Danio rerio: one gene and its partner. The protein of the gene in region 1 binds, or shares a complex with, the protein of each later gene. Links are inferred from orthologs where the notes say so. Each region holds a gene or a part of one and is shown on either strand. Other genes may lie near its edges. The genes, in order: cnot10 and cnot6l.

Evidence for each region.
Region 2: cnot10 (region 1) and cnot6l share a complex: the UniProt entries of both Homo sapiens proteins name them as parts of the CCR4-NOT complex. The link is inferred for Danio rerio from reciprocal best matches to the Homo sapiens genes CNOT10 and CNOT6L.

The regions. Positions count from the first base shown.
Region 1 is NC_133191.1:8,047,845-8,061,129, forward strand, and holds part of cnot10 (CCR4-NOT transcription complex subunit 10), read left to right. Parts: intron 1-1,118; coding exon 1,119-1,324; intron 1,325-2,135; coding exon 2,136-2,257; intron 2,258-4,162; coding exon 4,163-4,342; intron 4,343-4,474; coding exon 4,475-4,555; intron 4,556-9,262; coding exon 9,263-9,376; intron 9,377-11,496; coding exon 11,497-11,627; intron 11,628-11,712; coding exon 11,713-11,748; intron 11,749-13,285. UniProt on the Homo sapiens protein: Component of the CCR4-NOT complex which is one of the major cellular mRNA deadenylases and is linked to various cellular processes including bulk mRNA degradation, miRNA-mediated repression, translational repression during translational initiation and general transcription regulation.
Region 2 is NC_133180.1:39,700,485-39,713,769, reverse strand, and holds part of cnot6l (CCR4-NOT transcription complex subunit 6-like), read left to right. Parts: intron 1-4,194; coding exon 4,195-4,422; intron 4,423-5,744; coding exon 5,745-5,947; intron 5,948-12,734; coding exon 12,735-12,940; intron 12,941-13,285. UniProt on the Homo sapiens protein: Has 3'-5' poly(A) exoribonuclease activity for synthetic poly(A) RNA substrate.

The DNA of each region.
Region 1 (13,285 bases):
TGTGCTGTATACATGGGTTGTTTATTTCCGCTAAAGTTTTCAGTCATTTTTAAAGTCTTTAAGTTTTAAACCTTGACTGTTAAAGTAAAAAAAATTTTACATTTATTTATTTATTTATTTATTTTTTTATTAATTTCCAAAATGATGATTAACAGCAAGGAAATTTTCACAGTATTTCCTATAATATTTTTTTCTTCTGGAGAAAGTCTTATTTGTTTTATTTCGACTAGAATAAAAGCAGTTTTACTTAAAAAAATAAATAAAAAATAAAACATTTTAAGCCTTTAATTGCCTGCTCCACCAAATGGTTGACCATGTTTTGACTGTTTTCAATAATGACTGTTAAAGTCATTTAAAAATGACCATTTTAAATAGTAGTTTACACTACACAGCGTTGTTGATTCACAAAAATAATAAACAAACATAATCCCATTGCACTACTAAACTTGATTTTGCTTTTATTGTAAAAAAAATAACAAAACAGCAACATGTTAAATGAAAATATGAAATATTTTATGGCATACTTAAAAAAATAAAGATGAAATAGCATTCAAAAATGTTTTGGTTTGGTAATTTATTCAAATAAATTGGTCTTACGCTATATTTTCAGATTTTTCTTAGTCTATGTATTAATTACGGTACTTTTACCATTTTTAACAAAGTGACACACTTTAGAATTTTTATCCTATATTAAAATCTTATTTAATTTATGTGCTCGTTTGTTTTTTGTTTGTTTAAAACCCACTACCGCCCATCCCCCTGGTAGACTTCAAAAGATGAATAAAAAAATTATAATAAATAAAATAAAAATAATAAATAAATCAAATAGTTTTACAAAGAAATTCTACAAAAACTTTAAAAAGAATGCATTTTTTGTTGTTTTTAATTGTACATTTATTATTGAAATGTTCTTGCCATGAAAATGGCCTGGGTTGCTGACATGGCATTAAATAAAATAAATACCTTGTATTATTCAATTAGCTCAGAAAAAAATATTAATTACCTGCTTATTTTAGTATGATCATACCATAAATAATTTTTTTTTCAAGTTAGTATTGTAAGAAATATTGCATATTCTCCCAGCCTCGTATTTAACATTGTTTTTTCCTCCCCCATAGCATCTAAGAAGTTCAGTGGTATCCCCATGTGTGCTCTGTTAGCGAATAAGCGCTATGAGCTGCTGTATAACTGCGGGATTCAGCTACTCCATATTGGCCGACCGCTGGCAGCGTTTGAGTGTCTGATGGAGGCTGTACAGGTGTATCACTCCAACCCTCGACTCTGGCTAAGACTGGCAGAGTGCTGCATCACAGCTAATAAAGGGGTACAGACATTAACCCACATCTGTTTTTTGTTTTTGTTTTTACATGAAAGACTCCCCCAACCTCTAAATAGTACACTTCCATTCAAAAGTTTGGGGGTAATAGTTATACCTAGAAAAGTGTCATTAAAGGGATATTTCACTTAAAAATTAAAATTCAATCATTATTTACTCACTCTTTACTTGTTTCAGTTTCTTTCTTCTGTTAAACACAAATGAAGATCCTTTAAAGAATGAATAAAAACCTGTAACGATTGACTTTCATAGTACTTTTTTTCATTCTATGGAAGTCAATGGTTACAGGTTTTCTGCTTTCTTCAGAATATCTTTTGTTTCAAACTTATAAAAGTTTGTAAACTCTTTAGGGTGAGTAAATAGTGAGTAAATAATAATTTTTAGCTGAACTATTTTTTTTTTAAATCTATAAAATAACAACTTTTTTTAGTGTTTACTAATTTTTATTATTTAAATATTGTTATTTTGAACTTAAAATAAAACTTTGAACTTTGAAACAGAAATATAAACATATCAAATAGAAATTGGTGGTTCATTTCGCTGTGGCAAGCCCTGATTAATAAAGGGATTAAGCAGAAAAGAAATTGAATGAAATAGAAATTGAAACATACTTCTTTTGTCGTATTTAAAGTCTGTTCACGTCAAATGCTTAAAACCATTTGCATGTTTTTAAAATTATTTTGGTATGACCAGATTTGTTAAAGTTGGAAACACCTTTTTGTAGTATATTGATGATTTTGAAATATATTTGACATTCATATTTATTTTAATAACCTTTCCTTCATTTGTTTCCTCTTAGAGTTCGGAGCAGGAAACAAAAGGTTTACCCAGTAAAAAGGGCATCGTGCAGGCGGTTGTTGGGCAGGGCTACCATCGCAAGATTGTTCTAGCATCACAGTCCACACAAAACACCATCTACAGGTATTAATAATTTTGGACTAATGAACCATGATTTTGCTAATTATTAATGGAGTTACAAAATGTAGCTGCTTGAGATTGTGTCTGCCTGATTGGAGGGATGCGATTTCCAATTCATGCACTGTATGATGCACTGTAGTGACAGGGTTTCACCAGAAGATGTCATCCTTTTGCACTTATTCTTTTCTCTCTCAGAACAAATAACATTCAAAGACATTAAAGGGATAGTTGGCCTTTTACTCAGCCTTTATTGTTCCAAAACTTTTATGTAATGGGTTTGTATGGGTACTCTTTGAACAAGGCATACATTGAATATGCTTGAATTTTAATCTAGTGTTGTAAAGGTTTGAAAAGTACTTTGATACTTTAATTTTTGGATAAAGTACTTGAAACAACTTGAAATTGCAATTGTGTAAGTTTCATAATAATTTATTGTACCAAATAGTTTCCTATTTAAGCACAATATTAATACATATTTGCTTTTTCATCAAATGAAAGCTATTATTTATTCATATATTATAATTACTGTAATATATTATTACTATAATATTACTATAATATACCATTGAAATCAGAATTATTAATTATTAAATTATTAAACTAATGATTTTGAAGAAAATGTATATATTTTAATGAATTTAAGAAACCAGTATTCATTGACTTCCATTGAAGGAGAAAAAAACACACTATGAAAGTCGATGGTTACAGGTTTTTATTTGCTTAATTACTTATTCTGTCCTCATTTACTCGCGATTCAAAGCCGCATGACTTTCATTCTCTGTTGAATGCAAGAAAATATATGTGTTTAAGAATGTAAGTAACCAGTATTCGTTGACTTTTTTTGCCATAATGTGGCTCTCCAACATTCTTCAAATATATTATTTTGTATTGAGAAAAAACAAAACTTGTAATGAATTTGAAGAAAATATATATTTTTAAAGACCGCAAGTAACCAGTATCCATTGACTTCCATAGTATATTTTTTGCCATAATGTGCCTATCCAACATTCTTCTAATTATCTTATTTTGTATTGAGAAGAAAATAAAATGTCTAATGGATTTGAAGAAAATAATTTATATATATATATATATATATATATATATATATATATATATATATATATATATATATATATATATATATATATATTTTTTTTTTTTTTTTTTTTAAATTTTTTTCAAGAATGTAAGAAACTAGTATCCATTGACTTCCATTGAAGGAAAAGCACAAATACTATGAAAGTCGATGGTTAGTGGTTTTTATGTATTTAATTACTTATTCTGTCCTCATTTACTCGCTTTTCAAACCCTCATGACTTTCTTTCTTTCTTTGTTGTACACAAGAATTTATTTTTTAAGAATGTTAGAAACCAGTATTCATTGACTCTCATATTTTTATTTTTATTTTACTTGGCTGTCCAAACATTCCTCAAAATATCTTATTTCGTATTGAGAAGAAAAATACAACTAATGACTTTGAAGAAAATATATATTTTTAAATAATGTAAGAAACCAGTATCCATTAACTTCCATGGTATTTTTTTGCCTTACTGTGTGGCTATCCAACATTCTTCAAAATATCTTATTTCTTATTGAGAAAAAACAAAACTTTTAATGATTTTGAAGAAAATGTAAATTTTCAAAGAATGTAAGTAACCAGTATCCATTGACTTCCATAGTATTTTTTTGCCATAATGTGACTGTCCAACATTCTTCAAAATATCTTAATTTGTTTTGAGAAGAAAAGCACAACTTGTAGTGGTTTTGAATTATTTGAGGGTGAGACTTTAATTTTAGGTAAACTTTACTCTTTTAAAGCTTCTTACTTTATCAAAGATCAGTAGAAACAATTCTGATCCATTAACCATCCTGAAACCAATGGACCCATCTGCTTGTGTTTGTGTGCAGCGAGGCGCAGTCGGCAGCTATCCCAGTGGCCAGTATGGAATTTGCAGCAATCTGTTTGCGGAATGCTTTACTCCTGCTGCCAGAGCATCAACAGCACGACAGCAAACCAGACAACGGCTCCAAGAGCTACAGTCAGTCAGGCGGCACAGAAAGCGGCAGCGAGACCAGCGACGCCTGCAGGTACCTGTACATCCATGCAACATAAGCACTGAAAATAACTGATCATGAAGTAACCTGAATTGACTGAACACAATGAAGAACTTGTCAGATACATTCTTTTCACCATCATTTTTTTTTTTATTTGCCTGACAGTGGGAAAACCCAGGAAGGGGACAAGTTCATTCCTGCTGCCCCCTCATCGCCCTTGAGAAAGCAGGAAGTGGAGAATCTCAGGTGAGCTTACAGGAGACTTTATATGGACTTGCTATAAAAAAGGCCTGAGGTAAAATGGTCTCTTTTAAACGCATTTGATTTAGCTCCACCAATTGTTTGATAAATTATGTATGTCACTGCTAAAAGAAATTTGCTTATTTTTCCAGTATAATTTCCCAAAATATTCCATAAAATATGTCATATGAAGGGTTTAAAATATACTTTCCCCTTTGAAAATTATTAAGCCTAATTTAGATATTTTTATTTCTTGTTTTAAGCTTAGTTTCACATAATTTACACACACGCACACACATATATAAATATATCTGTCTACATACATACATACATACATGGCTTGCCACTGTGGCTAGTAGTTTTCCACCGTTACCAGCCACTCGCCATTTTCACTGGCCACAATTTTGTAGTTGGATATATTATGCATATGCATATGCATTATAATATATTTTATATGCATAAATTTGACTTTGGCATGAGTTGCGGCGTGCTAAAATGACTTCATTTAGATTTTGTGTTGTTTCCACTTGCCTCCTCATTCATTTAACTTTTTTTCTTTGTAAGCTTACTCAATGAGCATGAGCAAATGAGTTATGCTTTCATAAAAAAGTGTCGCATTGAAATTAGTTTTCTTTCACAGGACTTTTCAGTGCTCAACACAATACGGATTTACTTTTTTTTTCTCTGGCCACACCAAACTAATTATTTCCTTGCCACAAATTTTAAATAATGTGTCAAAACAAGCAAAACACTGCTGTATACATACACTTTTTATTCAACAAAACAGCTGACATTTAAAAATATATATATTCTCACGCATCTAAAACTATGCACAGTTGTGCATAGGCCTGGGTGTGGCCTACTGGAGAAGGGCCTGCTGGGAGCACATGGTCTTTAGACCTTACCTTCAGTGTTTGATGGCCAAATTCGTTTGATTTTGTTTATTTCATATCAGTTTTTTGTTCAACTACCTCTGCAATAAACAGCAACAAATTAAGACTTGATGTTCTATGTTTTATTTGCAAAGGAAGCGTCTAAACGCCTCAGCAGATCCAAGATGTGACAAATTTGAAACATTGAACAAGGATAGTCACAACAGTCTGTTCTGTTAACTATGCATACAACAACATATTAAAGCAATATTATTGTAAAGGATGATTATTAAACTATATTAACAAAAATAACAGCAAGCAAAAGAAAGCTGGTAAAAACATTCTGTGCGCAATAATGAAAAGATCATGCCGCGCACACGGTTATTGGTTGGCCAATTAATAATCTGTACAAAGAATGGTTAAAGCAAAAGCGACAACAACTGCTGCTTACAAAAAATCTCGAGCTCTTGAAGGACTGTGGGTGCACAAGCATCGGACTAGTTTCATTTTCAGGCATAGTTGCTTCGACTGAGGAAACTGCACAGGAGCTATTAAACAGTGGCGCGCATCAAATCACCTGTGCGCACAACACTAGAGCCCTCGTCAGTGAGTGTGAAAAGCCTGTCTCACCATGTGCGTGATCCTCTCATTCACCTGCTTTCTTTTGCTTGTGTGAAAAGCTGTTTTGTCAGTCGTGCTGCTTCTCGATTCTAAGATCACATTTGTACACAAATAGACAAATGGACATAAACTAACAGTGTATTCTGTAGTGACGACGAGCCAGCACTGGCAATTTAAAAATTAGTTTTAGCCAGCCAAAGTGGCTAGTGGGAGTGGCTGTCCAACCCGCCTCAACCAATATCTACCCGCATTTGGCGGGTGTTAATGTAAAGCCCCGTGTATATATATATATATATATATATATATATATATATATATATATATATATATATATATATATATATATATATATATATATATATATGTAATTTATATTTAGATAATTTATATTTATAACTTTTTTTTAATTAGCTATCCATTTTTCTGTAAATCACAATTATTCAATTCAATTTTATTTCTGTAGCGCTTTTACAATGTATATTGTCAGCAACATAACATAGAAGTTACAATTAACAGAGAAGTTCTAGTAAAATGCGCCAGTCCAGTTTTCAGAGTTGTTTTTTTGCTGAAAGTCCAAACCCTGAAGAGCAAATCTCAGCCAGACATTTTTATCTTTTTCTCACTTAATTTAGGCTCATATTTACAGTGCTTTTGATTCATATTTACATTAACATTGTTAAGTAATGTTTGATATTTATATTGTAAAACCAGGCAAAAATACTGAGCAAGCAAAGCATTTTTGTGTTTTATATAAAAAGCAGTCCTCAAGAGGGCACTTGTCAGCACAGAAAGCTAAATTCTCTTTTTTTAAGAGAATAAAAAGCGCATTTAAAATTTTCAGTGTTTTTTTTTTTCAATTTGGTAACTTCAGTAAAGCAATTAACCTCCATTATTTTTACTCTGTTAGTTTCCTCTGACAACAGGTTTTGTTTCCTTGACTAGCTCACAATGCACCTCTCTTTCTTATTGTACACACACACACTTCACTGTTCACCCTTGCAATCTGCTTTTTTTTTTGCCTTGAGAATTGATTAGACTTTCCACCCCACCTCCATCCTGCTCTCGGTCCCCTTCCCCCTCATCTTTGATACAGGGGGACGGTCTGCTCCAGAGGGCTGGCCGGATGTAGGTCCCTGTGAAGGGAAGGGGTGTGGAGTGTGGATTGTGTTGACCCTGCACTGACACCCTGATACACTGACACTTTTACGAGCCCCTGGCAGCATTTACTCAAAGGGCTCTTCCTGGAAACCTATTGTGTCACAGGCAGCCGCTCAGAGCACTGAGTATTTCTCTGTTTTGCACTCTATTCTTTACCTACTCATACCCTCTTACGGAGCATCAGCAACAAAGTTGAGCATTTAGGAAATTAGCCTATCATGTTCAACTTCACCTTGATGCACACACAAGTTCATGTGCATTTACTACTGTCTGTTAATATATAAAACATCTAAATTCATCTAGATTCACCTGCAGGGACATTGAAAAACCAGATTATTTTGAACAATATTACAGTTGTTAAAATGTAAAATAAATATATATATGAATCCTTTCTGAAATATTAGCTCCTTGTATATTTTTTCTCCAATTTTTACTTAAGTTAAGTTTTTTTTTCAACACATTTCTAAATATGATTATTTTAATTACTCATCTCTAATAACTGATTTATTTTATCTTTGTGAAGATGACTGTAAATAATATTTTACTAGATATATTTAAAGATGCTCGTATTCAGCTTAAAGTGACATTTAAAGGCTTAACTAGGTTAATTAGGCAAGTTATTCTATAGCGATGGTTTGATTTTTTAAAATGTTTTTCAAAAATTAAAAACTGCTTTTATTTTAGACAAAATAAAACAAATAAGCCTTTCTCCAGAAGAAAAAATATTATCAGACTTACTGTGAAATAAATCTTGCTCTGTAAAACTTAATTTGGGTTATGTTTGTAAAAGAAACAAAATTCACAAGAAAGCCAATCATTTTGACTCACCGGCCACTTTATAACGTACACCATACTACTACCGGGTTGGACCCCCTTTTGCCTTCAGAACTGCCTTAATCCTTCGTGGCATAGATTCAACAAGGTACTATTTTGCTCCATATTGACATGAAAGCATCACGCAGTTGCTGCAGATTTGTCGGCTGCATTTCCATGAAGCGAATCTCCTGTTCCACCATGTCCCAAAGGTGCTCTATTGGATTGAGATCTGGTGACTGTGGAGGCCATTTGAGTACAGTGAACTCATTGTCATGTTTAAGAAACCTGTCTGAGATGATTCACGCTTTATGACATGGGAATGGAAATGGGGGCACCCGGAGGAAACCAGGGTGTACATGCAAACTTCACAAAAAAATGCCAACTGGCCTAGCCGGGACTCGAACTAGCGACCTTCGTGCTGTGAGGCAATCACTGAATTTTATGTACATAAACTGATATTAGCTTTTTTGCCTATGTGTATTAATTCCTGTAATTACCATATTGTGGATGTTTTGCAAAAAAAAAAAAATAACCTTCCTTAAATTCGATTTTCGAGGCAGCTGGCAATTCTTGTGGTTGGATTTGTTGAAATTGTCCAACACTGAACTTTGCAGAGTGTATACAGGGTGTCCGCGGGGTCTTAAAAAGTAATAAAAGTTAATAAACCAATGTAGAGAAATTTAAGGCCCTAAAAGTTTTAAAGTCTTAAATGCTATTTTGCAAAGTATTACATTTTATATCATTTTCAATTATGCAATGTATGGTTGTATGCTAAAGTTCGCCTGAATTAAATCTTCGAATATCAGGATGCTGCGTAGTTTATGAAATCCTACTAGATTTGACATCATGCTGCTTTGTTTACTGCAGTAATAAAGTCAACACCATTATTTCTGCAGTTTTATATGCGCCAACCTGCTGTATTAGCTAGATTAATTAGATTTCTTTTCAGTATATGAATAATGTTTAGTTTTGTATTAGTCTCTTACATAATATTTAGTAAATATGAAAGCTAAAATCTCGCCAGTGTTTCCGCTTAAAACCTAAAGTGGTTATAAGGTCTTAAAATGTATGGGAAGAATCTTAAAAGAGGTCGCAAAAGGTATTTTACTCTCTGATTCCTGTATATACTCTGGTTACTCTGGTATAACTCTCTTTACCAGAAAGAACTGTGAAAAGTCACTTTAAATTCTGTGAAATTATTTTGTTGGTTGTAAATGGTTTAATCTGCTTGCTTCTCTCTTCAAAGGTGCTCCATTCTAGCCTGCAGTGCGTATGTGGCACTTGCTCTTGGGGACAACTTAATGGCTCTTAACCACGCAGAAAAGCTCTTGCATCAGGCAAAACTGTCAGGATCGCTCAAGTGAGTCCGTCTCTCCATTTCTGGCTGATTTACCTCTTTTATGGGTCCTGCTCTCACAACATTCAGCAAATATTTGCCCTCCTAAAACAGACAACCCTGAGCGACATGGCGTTTGCTATGTGGTTCAACCAGTCAAACAAAAGGTCCCACCTTGCCTGACCACTTCATTTTCACAATTTTGTGTTTTTTTTTTTGGTGGGGTCAGTGTTTGGGATGAACTAAAATCACTAAACGCTTTTTTTGTGAAAACAAACGTTAAGCTTCACCAGTAGTTAAAACTATTCAGAGAATCAGTTGTATTATTACCTCATCATCTTCAGCTTCTCAAAATAATGAATGAATGATGGTGGGATTTTTTTAACATTTGACTTGCGACAACAGTCCCACTCCTACCTGACGGTAGAAACAAGTACCCGACAGAAAAACTGCATTAAGTGCAATGCATGTAATGTATGTGGTAATTTTAAGTACTTGGATAACAAAATAAATGTTATTCAACCTATTTTTTTTTTTAAGTGCAACATATTCCAAAAGATCAGGGGCTTTTGACAATACATCAGGGGCTCAACCCGAAAATGAGTATTCATTCCATTTCTCAGGGAATATAGGTCATATATTTTGGTGCATTTGAACAAAACGCATTTAGTTAAACAGATATATTTATTCAAATAATATTTTAGTCACCAAACATATTTAGAAATAGACAGAAAATATGTTTAAATGCATGCAAAGTATTGGAAAAAAAGATTACTAAGGACATGCTTGACAACTACACATGCTTAAGAAACAATGAAGTAGGAAATTTATGACACTATATGGTACACGTGAAATATTGTGTCGTTACTTTGAAACATTTAGGGCTCTATTTTAATAGGTACAGAATCTAAAGCTCAGGATGCAAAAGCATTAAGGGAGTGTCTGAATCCACTTTTGCTATTTTAAGGATGGAAAAACCCACTTGGCCCATGGTCTAACAGGGTTGTGCTTATTCTCTAATGAGTTCTGGATGTGTTTTGAGAATAGACCAATCAGAGTCTTATCTCCTTTTCCCTTTTAAGAGTTAGTTGCGTCGAGCCATGGCACATTTGCTATTTACAGTTAGGAAAGTAATGCTTTCATTGTAGATCTGTGCATTTTTAAATTGACACTTCTGTTATTTAATGCAATCAAACGGAAAATCTAAGTGAGATATTTATTCGTGGCTCTTTAATCAGAATGTTTAAATTATACAGTGAATAAAGCACATGTTCAACAACCTTAAAGTACACATGAAATCAAAACTAACCATATTGATTTTGTGAGCTCACATTGCTAGGCTTGTGGTGAACAATTCATCTGTGCATGTCATTAAGAAAAAAAAAATGCCCTTGTAATCCGAAATTGAAGACACTATATGTTTGTTTTTAGATAAAGTCTCAGATTACGTCTGTCTGAGGCATTGGGCGTGGCTAACATACTTAACCACGCCCCTCCAACTGTCAGTTTTGACAACAGAAATGGTGAGCAGGGGGTGTCTGTTAGGTTGTAATGACTTTCCCCAAACCCTTTTCCCAAAGTTTTCTTAATTAAATGCCTACTTTTCTACATCCAATGAGCACGCAGTAGAAAAAACAAGCCACACCCACCGTCTTCTCATTTAATTTAGCAATTTCTTTATCACAGAACAAAAAAAAAAAAAAACTAAAAATAGTCTCAGTTTCCGGTTCATGCTGAGTTTAAGTTTGTCCAAAAATAAGCGAATTCAGCAGAATACATACATGTCTGTCAGAGCACTTAATTATTTTCTTTGCAATCCAATTTAAATACAGAATCGATTCTGAACTTTTAGGATTCGATTCAGAATCGCGATTAATCGATTTAATTTCGACCTTCTTCACATCTTTTTCTTCTTAATCATCTTAATATACTAAAATTAGTGTTGTCCATGTACAAGTATTGTTTGTTTGTATTGGTTCGATTTCCCAGGCACAGATGAAGCTTAAACTAACGCTTGAAGTCAGTGCGCATAAAGCAGTCAGTTTAGCTTTAGTCTTTGTCTTAAGAAATGGCTTTAAACAATGTATTCAGCTGATCTATAATCAATTTTTAATGAGTTGTGGTTGTGTGTCTGTGTGTCTCAGGTTCCTGGGTCACCTATATGCTGCTGAAGCCCTGATCTCGCTGGACAGGATTTCTGATGCTATTGCACATCTCAACCCGGAGAACGTTACTGACGTCTCGTTAGGGGTGTCATCCAGCGAACAGGACCAAGGTATTGATACACACAGGCATTATCAAAATCTATAAATGATCATGTACATGGTGTGTGATTTTTTGACGTGTGCTGTTAATGACAGGTTCTGATAAAGGAGATCTGGAGCCTGTGGAGTCCTGTAAGTCACATTTGATTCTTGTGGTTTTAGTTTATTTAAAATGGAAATTGTAACAATGCAGTCAGGTTTTATTTGTCAACATTAGTTAACTACATAATTTAACGTTTACAAATTATGATTTTAGTAGTGTATTTAGTATTTATTATTATAGTATTTATATATAGTAGGTTTATTAATGTTTTATTAATGTTTATTAATATTTATTAATGTTTATTAATGTTTTTTTCTTATTTTATGTGTTTATTAATGTTTTTGTCTTATTAAGGATTTTTTTACTCTTAAAAAGCAGCTTTATGTTTATTAACCAGCATTACAAATGCTGAAAAATACTGCAAATATATTTAATTCATTACTGTCATTATTAAATATTGATAATATTACCTTCATTATAAAATTCATAAACTAAATACATTTTAGATAGCGTTTTTATTATTTGAATTAACAAAAAAACTGTTTATTTTGTTAAAGTTGCCTAACTTTAACCCTTTGGCCATGGTTTAACTGTTTCAAATAAAGAATGTTTAAGTCATTTAAAGAATGACTGTTTTATCATGAAAAGCATGAAATATCATTCACACAGCAATGTTGGTTTACAAAAAATCAAACAAACATCCTGTTGCACTGCTACACTTGATTTTGGTTTAAACAAGAACACATGTTAAATGAGAATCTGCATCTGTTTTATGGCGTACTTCAAAAAATAAAGGTGATTTAGTGTTTAATTTTGTTTTATTTTGAATTTTTATTTTGAATATTATATAAATAATAAATTGGTCTTACATTTTATTATTTTTACAATTTTCATAGTTTATGTATTAATTCCGATACTTTTAACATAAACGAACATATCTACCATTTGTTAGAGGCTGAAATTATGGGATGTGTTGAAAAAAATTCATTGAGTGTGTTACCTAGCAACATTAGGAGTTAAGAAATGCAATCCAAACATTTTTTGGTGGGGTAGTTAAAAGGTTAAATAGTTTTATTCATAGTTTGAACTTGTTTTATTTACATTTAGTTTTGTGTGTGTGTGTGTGTGTGTGTGTGTGTGTGTGTGTGTGTGTGTGTGTGTGTGTGTGTGTGTGTTTGTATGTTTGTAAATATATTGTCAAGTGCGAAATTATCAATACGCCTGGCAAATAAAAAAAGTGGAGAAATATTTTTTCCACAGTGATACCTCTTATACATCATCATCTCATCTTTTGGAAGAAGCCTGTGTCATTTCTGGTACCTTTAAAAGTGCAGTATGTAAGTTTGACACCCAGTGGTTAAATTAGGTATTTCACTCTTGGTACAAAACACATGCAAGCGCAAGTTGCCAGATTGATGACATCAACAGGAGCATGCCTGCCTATCGAGCCTGAAGGCTGATTTAAGTCATTTTCTAAATACAAGCAACATCACGTGATAGATAGATGATATATTTTCCATATTAAAAGAAGTTTTTGCCCTAACCAACACATACAAAGAGTATTTTAGAAACAGCTTTAATTTCTTGCAGCTAAACAACAGGATAAACTGATGATGATTACCTCAG
Region 2 (13,285 bases), on another chromosome or scaffold:
CATACCTAATAGCAACCTTTGATGTGCGCTTAATTTAGCTTTGTCATGGCTACCTCTTATAAATCCGATAATTTCTTTTGTCCTTGAGATCATATGATAAGAAAATTATCCTTTTCTACGCTATGAGTTTACAGCTTAAAACCCTTTAAATACCTGAATATTGAAACATTAGTTGACATTTTTAAAGACAAAGCTGTGATTAAATTAAATAATCTTTGTAGCTGTCAAAATTGTATAATCATTAAAACATAATTATTAGATAATTTGATTAAATTCAGGGCTGTGGGTTTGATTTTAGTGGTAATTGGTTACATTTTCTTTTTGTTATGCCTGAATATACAATTGCAGAATGACTTCGATATGAATTACTTTTAATTATTATAATGTATTTTATAGTCCTTTGAATTGCTGTCTGATCTTCCAATGATCATTTAAGTTCACTTGTAAGTCATTCAGATACACCCTAATTCTGCTTTATTTCTTCTTTTTCAGCATAACTAATTTTATGAGAAATAATTGTACATTTTTTGTGTCATCAAAAAGATTGCGATATAGATTGAGTTCCTGTTTTTAAACTCAGCTTTTGCTTTACTCAGAATTAGGAGCAGTGACCTTAATAATGAAAGATCTTATTCAGATGTTTCATAATAGTGAATTCTAGTTCCAAACCTCATAAAGTAACTATAGCAAATAGATAGTATTAATAAACATATATCTAATTTAGAATCAAGAATGATAAAAGAAGACTTTTTTTAGGATGTATATGCATAATGTCCGATAAAGCTTACAATACATAGTGTGATGTCACTCAGACAACATTGGAATGAAGCATTAATAAATGCTAAAATAACAAAATGCACAGAATAAAATATTTGAATTCATACCTCAATTCAGTAAATTCATTAAATGATTGTTTTTTGCGTAACATTTGTCTACATATTTATATTTTGTTTACATATTTGTATCAATATTATTATTATAATTGATTATGGGCAATATATATATATATATATATATTTATTTTATTTATTTATTGTAACATAGGCTAATTTTCACCTACAAAGTAGGCTTATGAGGCTATATGTTTTATTTATTTTTTATTTTTCATTTTGAATAGGCTACTGTAAATACCTGACAATAAAGGCAGTAATTTTTTCACTTTAAAATTTAGCAGTGAATGAAAAGCAAATTTAACCTAACAAAAAATTATAGCCTAATCTAAATGCTGCATAAAGTGAACTCCTGGTAAAATTCCTGCAGAAATTAAGAAATGATTATGCTCTAGCCAACATTGGGTAGACTAGTTGGCCTAAAATATTTTGAGCAATGTTGTTGAACTTGTCATAAATAAACATTTAAAAAGGCTGTAAGAACACAATAAATTATGCTTTTGCTCGAAAAAGAAAAATTACTATTTATTTAAATATTATAATATTCTTTTTATTTAGTTTATAAATGTCTGTTTAACATCTAGCAGGACACATCTCATAGCCCCCTTACAGATGAGGACTCTAAAAATGAACTTTCAGATGAAAACATGCACATAAAATAGACTGAGCAATTTTCCTAACACTTAAACTAGAGGCCAAGGAAAGAATGGTATTCTTTGATTAATAAAATGGTACATGGCCACCACGGCACATTTTATCACGTTTCTATTTGTTAGTCATGTCCACACCAAAATGACTTTAAGCTTAATTTAGGACAAAATGGTATTTAAATATGTACAATAATGTATTTCAGCTTTGGATGTTGGTCGGGTTGAATGTCCACCACAGGCTGCTGAATGCTGATGTTTAGCCTGTAGGTGGAAGCAGATCACAAAGTTTAAACTGTTTACATGGGATGACAGCAATAACTATTGTCCCTGAAAATGAATTTAAGATCACAAAAAGCAACACAGTGCATTAAAACATAGTAGAATTTATTTGGAGTCAACAAATGATTAAACATTTTGTAGCATTTGCACACATGCAATGTATCTAATAAATAGTATTTATTTCTACTTATGTGTATCAAGTTGAAGGGATGGTTTCCACAAAAAGTTACATTTCTTTAGCATTTACTTATCCTTGGGTGAATCCAAAGCTTTATGATTTTTTTTTTGTTTGTTTGTTTGTTGAACACAAAAGAATATAAATTGAAGACTTGGAAACTAGTAGCCACTTGAGTATAATATAACATCTGACATCTGTAGTATAGTAAAATAAAACGCTATGGAAATCCATGGCTACTGGTTTCCAACATTATTCTAACTATATTATAAGTATAAAAAATTAAACAGGTTTGGAACAAGTATATGGTGAGTACATTTTGATTAAATTTAGATTTTTGCTTGAACGATGTCTTCAAGTAATTGCTCTTCAAATAAAAACTCATCCGTAGCCATTTTTTAAAGACAGCTGTAAATCAAAGGAAATCACTTTTATGGCTGTCAAAAAGTCAAACATAAACATAAAAGTACAAAGCTGAATTCAGTGCTGTAGGTTGGATTTTAGTGATAACAGCTTAAATTTCTATTATACCCAAGTAAACAATTCTTCAGTTTGCATACTTTTGGTTGATTGGATGTATTTCAACTTTTGAACTGCCTTCAGGTCTTTAAATGTGTTCAATTGTCAGCAGTTGTTCAGATAACTCCCTAGTTCTGCTTTATTTAATCTTTTTCAGCATATTCATCTATTTTTCTGTGGAATAAATATACAATATTTTGTGTAATCAAAAGATTGCAATATTGATTGCTTTTTGAAAACGGGAGTTTCCTGTTTTCAATTTCAGCTCTTGCCTTCCTCAGAATTAGGAGCAATGACCTTAATAATAAAAAATCTTATTCAAATATTACAAAATTACAGAACTCATTCTGCTTCATTCGGTATTTCAAGACATCAGGTTTTCTACCATAGTGATTTGGAACTAGGATGCTTTCAAAACCAGCCTGGAACTGTAGCTGTGGATTGCCCAAAGACCTTAGAGCACACCTTAGAGCAGGGGTTCTCAAAGTCCCGAATCTGAATTTTCATAGATGACAAAAATGTCTGTAAAACATTGTTAGCACAGAACATGTTTTAAATAAACATGCATATACATTAATTAACCTTTTAAAAGTCTGCATTTAAATATACTATTATAGCAAGTGCAAAAGTGGCAAGATGAGAACTGAAACTTAATTTAATTGTCAGCAATTTTTATGAACAAAACACAACCTGAGGTATAGCTCAAAAGTAGCATGGTGCAAAATACAATGCTGTGTGAGACATAACTCTGCCTGTATTCCAGCTGCTGCTAAACCTTTCATAGTGCCGTTTGACATTTTCACTCTTCATAAGTTTAAATATCTCATTTCTAATTAAAGAGAACAGTTTTGTGCTGGATTGGAGCAAAATCAATGCATACCTCTCTGTCCAATGAATCGTCTTTAAAAACTCAAAGTTTTTTTGTTGACTTTTCTTTTCTGGAAACTGGCATTCTTACCATTCAAACGCTCACTGTGTTGAAGAGTGTCTCTCAATTACGGTAAACATCATACATTGAAAAACAGCGCCACATCAGTTCGCTTTCACTATAGACCATCGCCAAAAAACAAGATTACATGTTTAGCACGTGTTTATTAAAGAAGTAAATGCACACTTTCTGTATTATTATTATTATTATTATTATTTGTTTATTGGTTTTAAAATACAATATCAATTTATAAAAGCAAAACAGTTGAGACACTCAGTGGCAAAGGTCAAATAAAGTAAGAAAAAAAATATTCAATATTTAAATATATTACATTGGTAAGAGATACCATCCAAGTGCACTGAGTAGAGAAAACACAAAACAACAAAAATAAATAACAAACAAACAAACAAACAAAAGAAAGGTTATTTATTACTTAAAAAAACTATTTGAAAAAAAAATAGGGTGTAATTCTTGATTAATGTCAAGCGCTAGTTCTGGGTATGGTCATTCATTTTGAAGTGCTTCTGGAGTGGCCAAAAGCTCAGAGGTCTATGAAATTCACACTTTCGTTCACTTACACATAAGAGTGCTCTTGAATATAAAATCGAAAAGAGTCCAAACTTTGAGAAGCCCAGACTTAGATTGTTCGTCAGCCAATCAAATTCAAGATTTCAACAACTCCTAGTATATATATCTTAATACTATTTATTAGAATATTCTCATCCCATTTTCTTTCCTGGCACTGTACTGCAGGCTTAAAGCCACCTCCAGAGAAACAGCTCCTGCTTGTAGCTAACGCCCACATGCACTGGGATCCAGAATACTCGGATGTGAAGCTCATCCAGACTATGATGTTCCTGTCTGAGCTCAAGAGCATCGCTGAGAGGGCCTCGGGATCTATCAACTCTTCTTCACCCACATCAGAAACAAGCTCTATCCCTATCGTCCTGTGTGCTGATCTCAACTCCCTCCCAGATTCTGGTAAGTCATATTTAAAAGGTGCATGTTGAAAATAAATTGGAATGTTTGGGCCAGATTTACCAAGTAGGGCAATTTTACGCAAGAGCATTATTGCAAAACAGCACTGAATCTACAATTAGAGAACAAAGATATAACATCTCATTTACATATTGACAGTGCAAATTAGAATAGTGGCAAATTTCCTTGTGCCAAATATTTACTAAAAAAATTTACTGGTCAAAGAATGGACATGCTCACAAAATAGACAGGAATGTGAGTGACCACAAGGCACTTTTTATTTTTACTTACAACTAGCTACAGTATATCTGATGCATGCTTTTCAGGCACAAAGAGAACACATTGCACATTGTCTTAGGGAACCATGATCATGCTGGTATTGTGTGACTCAGATGTTACTTCCCAGTAGTCTCTTATTTCTTAAAACAAATTCAAAATAGCATATTTGGCAAACAGTATATTTGAGCGATTGTATTCCTTTGGCATTCCAAAATAAATATGTGTGGGGTAAAAAAAGTCTTATACCATGCGCTCTGTGTTCCCTGTATTGTCTTCTCCTGGTAACAACAACTGTAGCCATTTCAAGTGTGATATTTATATTTTTAGTCATTAAATAATGACGCAAATATCTAATGTGAGAAGCACAAATGTTGTTAAATTGCAATGCGCTATACATTTAAACACTTTCATCCTATAAATTTTGTGTCTAATTGGGAAACTCTTACAAATGTATATTTTAAAAAAAAGTAACTGTGTCAGTGCCTTTTCAGAGATATTTCTCTCTGCTGTGTGTGTTTGGTAAAACTAAAAAGACAGTTAGCATTGAAGCAAGCTGTTAGTAAATTTGTCTCTTTACTGTTTACAGTTTTTGTTAAGACTAATCTAAGACATTAATATATTTCAGCAAGCCATAAAATTGCACTTACAGAGTGGGTGGCTGTTGATTAGCCTTTTTGTTCCTTACAATTGGATCAAATAAACAAAGCTTACTGAATTCGCCTGCTACCAAATTAAAGTAATAATTCACCCAAAAATCTTACTGACATGTTTAAATTTTTGAAGTTTCCTTCTTCTGCAAGAATATAAAAGAAGATTTTTTAAAGAATGTTGATAACCAAATTTTTGACTTCCATTAAATTAAAAAAATAGAAAATAACATGTCATACATGTTATAAATATGTTGCAGAAAACTACCTATAGCTTTGTAATGTTAATTTGGGGGTGAACTATCTTTTGAATGTCAAAAAACAGCCAATTTTATTTTTTGCTTCAGATTAGAAGCTCTTGTCTCAGAATCACTCGTTTTCCTGACCTCTTTCTTGCAGGTGTGGTGGAGTATCTGAGCAATGGCGGAGTTGCAGAAAATCACAAAGACTTTAAAGAACTGCGCTACAGCGACTGTTTAACTAACTTCAGCTGCAATGGCAAAAACGGCAAGCCTGATGGCAGTATCACACACAGTTTCCAGCTGAAGAGTGCCTATGAGGGGAATCTCATGCCCTACACCAACTACACTTATGACTTCAAGGTGAGGAGATTTTTTTTTCAGAATCAAAATGAATCTCAATCAAAATATTATGGGAGCCATCTGTTTCAACATGAGATTTAGGATTTTCATGCTTGCTTTCTTTACATCGCCATTTTTGTTCTTTTATTTGTTTCAACAAAGCTTTGCTGCGAAGATGAATCATTTATGATCATATGATTATCTTGTTGGTAAATATGATGATGTAGGTCTCACATGATGCACTGTATATACATGATAATAAATTTACATTTGTTAATATTGAAATGACATAATCAAAAAATGACTGTCGGTTCATGACCAGGAGAATAAGTAATGATTCAGTGATGGTGTCTGATTCAAAAGCCAACTCATTTAGCTAATTATTTTGAGATGTGTTGATTGGTGGATTGTCTTGTGGGTGTCATTTGTTATTAAAGTGTGACTGCCTTTGTTATAATAATGAATTAAAATAGGGTGTTGGCATGTTACATGCTTGCATGAGGAAACCCGTGCACATTAGAAAGATTAATCCTTGTCCAGTATCTGCTTTTTAAAAGTTTTAAGTCAGAGTGAACCAGAAGTTGCTAAGACTTCTATTTCAGGAAGTCACTGTACTTCCGACTAAGATGGATTGTTGAGTAGGGGTCAGGGTTTTCTTTTTACTCATTATTCTCTCTTCGTAAACTAACGGTAATAGGGGTTTGGTTATCAATAGCTACAATCAACAAAAAATGAATGCCACTTTAAATGTGGAAGCAAATGTTTAGACTTTGAAGATTACCAAAACAAAATTGTTTTAGTCGATTATCTTGCACAGATTTATTGTTCACCTAAAGAATAAGAATGTGTGCTAACAAAATATACATTGTAAATTTCGATTTCACGTGGACTTCAAGGGATAAAACTAGAGTTGTGCTAATTTAAAATAGAGTTATATATTTTAATCTTATAGTTATATGTGTTTCTAGTCTAGTTTAGTCATCTCTGTTTCTTTTCCGGCTGTAAATCAATGTTCTGGTTCAGTTTAACACCTCATTGACAATCTAAGTGGCTCAAAACAGTCAAGTGCATATGCAGATTGTGCATACATTATATGCAAAGTTAAAAAAAATCTTCTGATTTAAAAATTCAACTTACTTCACCCTGTGAATTACACTAGCATGTGTCTAAGGAATATTGATTTCAGAAACCCTTATTACTTCACTTTCCACTCATTCAGACTTAAAGGGTTAGATTTTTAATTCATTCATTTTCTTTTTGGCTTAGTCCCTTTCATAATCAGGGGTCGCCACAGCCGAATGAACCGCCAACTTATCTAGCATATGTTTTACACAGTGGATGACCTTCTAGCTGCAACCTAACACAGGGAAACACCCATACACACTGTTTCACACTCACACACACTACAGCCGATTTAGCTTGTTCAGTTGACCTAATGCGCATGTCTATGGACTGTGGGGGAAACTGGAGCACCCGGAGGAAACTCACGCGAACACTGGGCGAACATGCAAGCTTCACACAGAGTTGCAAAGTGACCCAGCTGGTGCTCAAACCAACAACCTTCTTGCTGTGAGGCGATCGTGCTACCCACTGCGCCACCGTGACACCCAAAATTTAATTTCTAATATTAATAAGTGTCAATAGCCTGAGACCTTCACTCATCTTCTGAACACAAATGAGCTTCCTTCATCCTCCACAGACAGCCGTAGTCAGGCATTCAAAGTCCAGAAAAAGACCCCAAAATGCTGTCAAAATATTCCATGTGACTTCAGTGGTTAAACTAAAATCATGCACAGTTCCAATAACACCTTTATTCGCACAAAAAAAAAAAAGAGTAAAAACAACTTGCTTTTTATCAGTGTTTTCCATTTTAGATTAGTGTTTGCATTTAATATGACCAATAAAATGTTATTGTGTTGCTCTGCTGACTAAAATGACAATATATCAGACTGCCTGTAGCAAGTGCACACCCTGAACTGATGTGAAACAGAACAAAGAACGAATGAGCAAAGGCAAACAAAAGTATTTTTTACAGTTTTATGGCACACAATAATGTTCTTGGAGCTTCTAAAATGTTTTTTGTAAAGAAAAGTGTGTGCATTTGTACAGTATGTGGCCCATTTATCGTTGCAAAAAAGGCCACATCAAATAATTATAAAGTACATCAAAAAACTTCTGAAAACATTCAAAAACTTTCTGATTCAGTTCTAGTTTTGGTATTTGTGACTAGGTCTCTGCTTCATCAGAATCAGTATCAGTTTCGTGTCGCTAGGCAGACATGCCCAAACCCTGCATTCTACTTTCATTACAGGAGAAACTGCTTATTTGCAGTTAAAGCCAAAGACACCAAACAGCTCTGACCCAAAAACTGACATTTTCAAATGGTCTGACAGGTATTTTAAGCTGAAACTTCACAGACACATTTTAGGAACACCAAAAATTGTAAAAAGAGGCATAATATAAGAGGCCTAAAAAGACTTTTAAATAGATTTTAAAGTGACCTATATTTGAGACTATTTACAATTTATAATTTATTCAATAATTAATTCAAAATTAAAGTTTGAAGAAATATCTTTTTTTGCATGACACAGTGACATTTAAGTACAAATAATAGCTCTGACGGAATTCTCTTGAACAAATAAGCATTCGTTTAATGTGTCAGAATGGAAAAGAGTGAGCGTGTGTAAATGTCACGTCCTTTTGGTTTTCTTGGCAACATCCTGAATCATTCACATAAAAATCAGAATGTGCTTTCTTTGACAATCTAGAAAATCAGGGAAAGTTTGTTTTTTCTTTTGTTACACTTTGTTGACACATGGCAAAAAAACGGTCATTAGTACATACCTTAAAAGTGACAACTGTTGTTGAGTTTTAAAAATTGCATTTGTTACACATTTAAATGAATTAATCCTTTACTGCACAACATTTCACTTGGCAACAGAAATGTCAATTTTCAGTGCATGTTTTCATAAATCATTGCAACCAATTGGAATGGTTAATAGCAATAAAGAAAAAGTCAAATAGGATTTGAGGGTCACTATCATGCACCATTTGAAGGTGGAATATTCTTTGCACCCGTGGCCCAAGGAGTGCTTGATGTGATTAAAAGGCAAGATATCTGCTGTAGTAATCCTGTTTAAAAAGACATGGTCAATGCATAAATATATGCATGCCGGTGTAAAAATACATTTTATTAGGTTTTATTATGATTTTATTTTATTTTGAATGTTTAGAAATTCTAATTTTCTTATAATTTTCATCAACTTAAGTTTTATTTTTACAAGTTTTTTTTATTCTAACGATATTTTTGCTAATATTGTGCTTAGAGATTATCACATATTGTTATACATGTTAGTGCACAATTTATGTTCAAAGCAGAAGAGGTGGCAAACTAGTGGTGGGATTTCCAATTTCCCATGAAATGAAAACTCATTGCGTAATTACATGAAGTAGAGCAAATGAGATGAGACACTATATAATGCAAGTCCTGTACCAGATTCAATACATCAATGAGTTTCAAGTGCTTTCCATTTTTGATCAATAAGATTCGCTCTTAGCTTTGTTTTATGGGTGTTTATTAATAATTGCAGCAATAATCTTCTCCATGATTCAGTACCAAAATATTTTGGGCTAAGGGTTGCGCTAAAAAATAATGAAATTAACCAAAAATTGTGTAGAATTATTTAATCATACAGTGTCTATAGAAAATCATCACACCCTGTGAAAATCTAATTCTTTACTCACTAGGGATGCTCTAATCGCCGGGGATCGGTATCGGCTAATAATCACATTTTTAAACAGGTTAAGAGTCTGGGTGTCATTCTTGATAGCACCCCATCTTTTGATTCTCACATCAATAACATCACCCAGTCTGCTTACTTCCACCTACTCAATATTAACCGACTCCGCCCTTATCTTATCCCCCATGCCACTGCTGTTCTCGTCCATAGCCTTAACACATCTCATTTAGATAACTGCAACTCCCTTCTCTTTGGTGTCACTCACAAATCCCTCCATAAGCTTCAGTTGGTCCAGAACTCAGCTGCACGTATCATCACCAGAACCCCTTCTTCTCATCACATCACCCCTGTCCTGCAGCAGCTTCGCTGGTTACCAGTTCATTTTCAAATTGTTTTTTTTTTTTTTTTTAATTTTTAACATTTTGCTGTTAACATTCAAAGCCATCCATAATCTCGCCCCTCCATATTTGTCTGCCCACATTTCTGTTCCGTCTTGCACCCTGCAATCTTCTTCCTCCCTCCATTTGTCTGTTCCCTCTGTTCGTCTATCGTCCATGGGCAATAGAGCAATCAGCCGCTCTACTCCCCGGCTTTGGAACTCACTACCACCTGCCATCAGAAATATTGACTGCCTCACACTATTCAAATCAAGACTCAAACCCACTTAGTTAAGATGGCTTTTAATACTTAATTGTATCTGCACTATTGCTGTGTATGTTTTTATATTATTTCTCTTGTTCTATTTCTCTTGTTTTATTGTACAGTGTCCTTGAGTTGCCAGAAAGGCACCTTTAAATAAAACGTATTATTATTATTTAATGACCCGATCTGTACTTACAGATTTCATGACCCGATCCCAAGTATTTGTGTTAGCTGGAGATGAGCACATTTTAACATGAATATTTAATAATATAACTTCTTGTAATTTACTTTTTGCAATAAACAGTAGTTTATAGACCTATTTACTTTTAGTTAAGAAGTATTAGATTTATAGGTGTGCTTTTTAACTTCTTGTTCATCAAATATGCTCTCCAAACCTTTTTCTTGATTGAGATATATTGAATTGCCAGCAGCTTGCTTTCTGCAACGCACACATGGTCGCCCACTGAAGCTAAGCAGGGCTGTGCCCAGTCAGTACGTGGATGGGAGACCACATGGGAAAGCTAGATTGCTGCCTGAAGTGGTGTTGGTGAGGCCAGCATGGGGCACCCAACCTGTGCTTTGTGTGGGTCCTAATACCCCAGTATAGTGATGGTGGCTCTATACTGCTCAATGAGCGCTGTCTTTCGTATGAGATGTTAAGCTGAGATCCTGACTCTCTGTGATCGTTAAAAATCCCATGATGCCCTTCGAAAAAAAGAGTAGGGGTTTAACCCCGGCAACCTGTCCAAATTTGGCCCACTGGCCTCTGTCCATCATGGCCTTATAACCATCCCCATATCATAATTGGCTTCATCACTAACCCGGTCTAAACTCAGTGCTTACGCACTGCTTAATACGCACAAGAGAGCAATAGGCAATTATCTTTACATATGAAAAAATGTAAATATTAAGGATATATATAGGATATAATAAGGATAGATATAGAGTATAAATATAAAGGATTAAAATATTACAAAACATTATTTTCTAGCCTACATAAATATGAAAGATCACTGCTTTTATGTCTTCTTCATCTCGGGAGGCTTTTTCAGTTCATTCATAACAATTTGCTTTTGTATAATGTTATTATTATTAGCAGTGTTATTTAATATATCCATATTTATATTTGTTTTATTAAAAACAAGCTTAGATTTGCCCACCTGTCAGGTTTTAGACCATATGGGGCACAGCATGTGTTTTAGGATATAACATTTTGTTATTATTATTCATTTATTCGTTTGCTGGAAATTAGAACTGAATTTAGAAATAGTTTTGAAATGAATATTGGGCCTTAACAAACAAAAGTATTTATTTATAGGCTAATTGATGTCTGTGCGTAAAGTTTCCCTATCCAAGAGCGAACGTGAAAGTAGTTCCATTATCTCTCATTCTCACGCAGTAGATGCTCTGTTTAACAGTTTTCTGTTAAAAAAAAACTGTCAACTGTTAGCTGTTTGCTTGTGAAATGCTCATTTTTTCCACTTAGACTTACTTTGCGTCCTGTAAATAGCGAATGCGCTCTTGGCGTGACGCAGCTGACTCTTAAAGGGAATGGGAGATGAGACTCTAATTGGTTTATTCTCAGAACACACCTATAACTCATTAAGAAAATAAACTCAACCCTTTTAGACCATGCGCCGTGGCGCAAGGCAGATTTTCCATCCTTAAATTAGCAAAAACGCGTCCTGACAAGCCCTGAAAGCGTTTGCGCCCTGCGTTTTGCGCTCTGTGCATGGACCGTCAAAATAGAGCCCTGAGTGTCTTGAAAAGCACTATATAAATGTAAGGAATTATCATTATTATTAATTCTTCTTCCTTCCTTTGCAGTGTTTCCAAAACGTATTGTTAATCATTTTTCTTACCATGTTTTTTTTTCTTTATCTGTGCTGTCTATTATTTTCTGTAATGCTGCTTTTAACTATGACATGTTCACACCTAAAAGAGACTTGTTTAAGGATTATATGCAGCATCCTTAATTTATGCTCTTAGGTAAAGAGAAAACTCCACTTAATTATCTTACTTAGAAGGAAAATGTGCTTAATGCATTTTAAAGCTTGAAGCATCAGAATCTGTACTCAGTAACGGCCGATCTCAACTACTCGATAATGGCTGCAAAAATCCTGATCAGTGCATCCCTATTACTCACATTTCACCCTGTTTTCAAAAGACCTTCGGGATAAAGTTGTAAAAAAAAAAAAAGCACAGGTTAGGAGAAGGCTACACAAACACTTCAAAAGGCTGGAAAAGTTATTTAGAATGTGATTTGATTTCAGATTGTATGACAAATAAAGTCATTATTTCAGAGGGGTATGATGATTTTCTATAGGCACTGTGCAATACACAATTGCTGCAGTAGAGGGTTGAATTTACTTAATCTGAAAGGATGCAACATTTTGATATCTTTACCCTTTTTACATTTTCTGTAGGGTGTGATTGACTACATCTTCTTCTCAAAGACACACATGAGCGTTCTGGGTGTTCTGGGTCCATTGGAGACACAATGGCTGAAGGACAACAACATAACCGGCTGCCCTCACCCTCACATCCCCTCCGACCACTTCTCCCTCCTGGCTCAGCTGGAGTACCATCCGCCTTTACCCCCCCTCAACGGGCTGCATCTGCCTGTCCACAGGTAGTGCAGACCCCTTCCTTCCTCTCCCAAAACCCCACACCATGGACAGACCCCCATCATAAGCCCCAAAAAGTATAGGCGCACACATTAAGGAGTGAAGTGCTCACCTACTTTCTTGCTTTTTTAAGCCTTTGCACATGATTGTATCATTATTATTATTATTATTATTATGTTTTCCAATTTGAAAACAAAAGCTTAATACCAAATTAGGGTTGGGATTCTCTGTTTGGTACCAAACGAACACTGCTTTCAGGGAAATCGATCTGTTTGTCTAAATCTAAATGTGAGATTGTACTAACCGTGTGTATTGATGGTAGAAATGTGTATCTTATGAGAAGACAGATC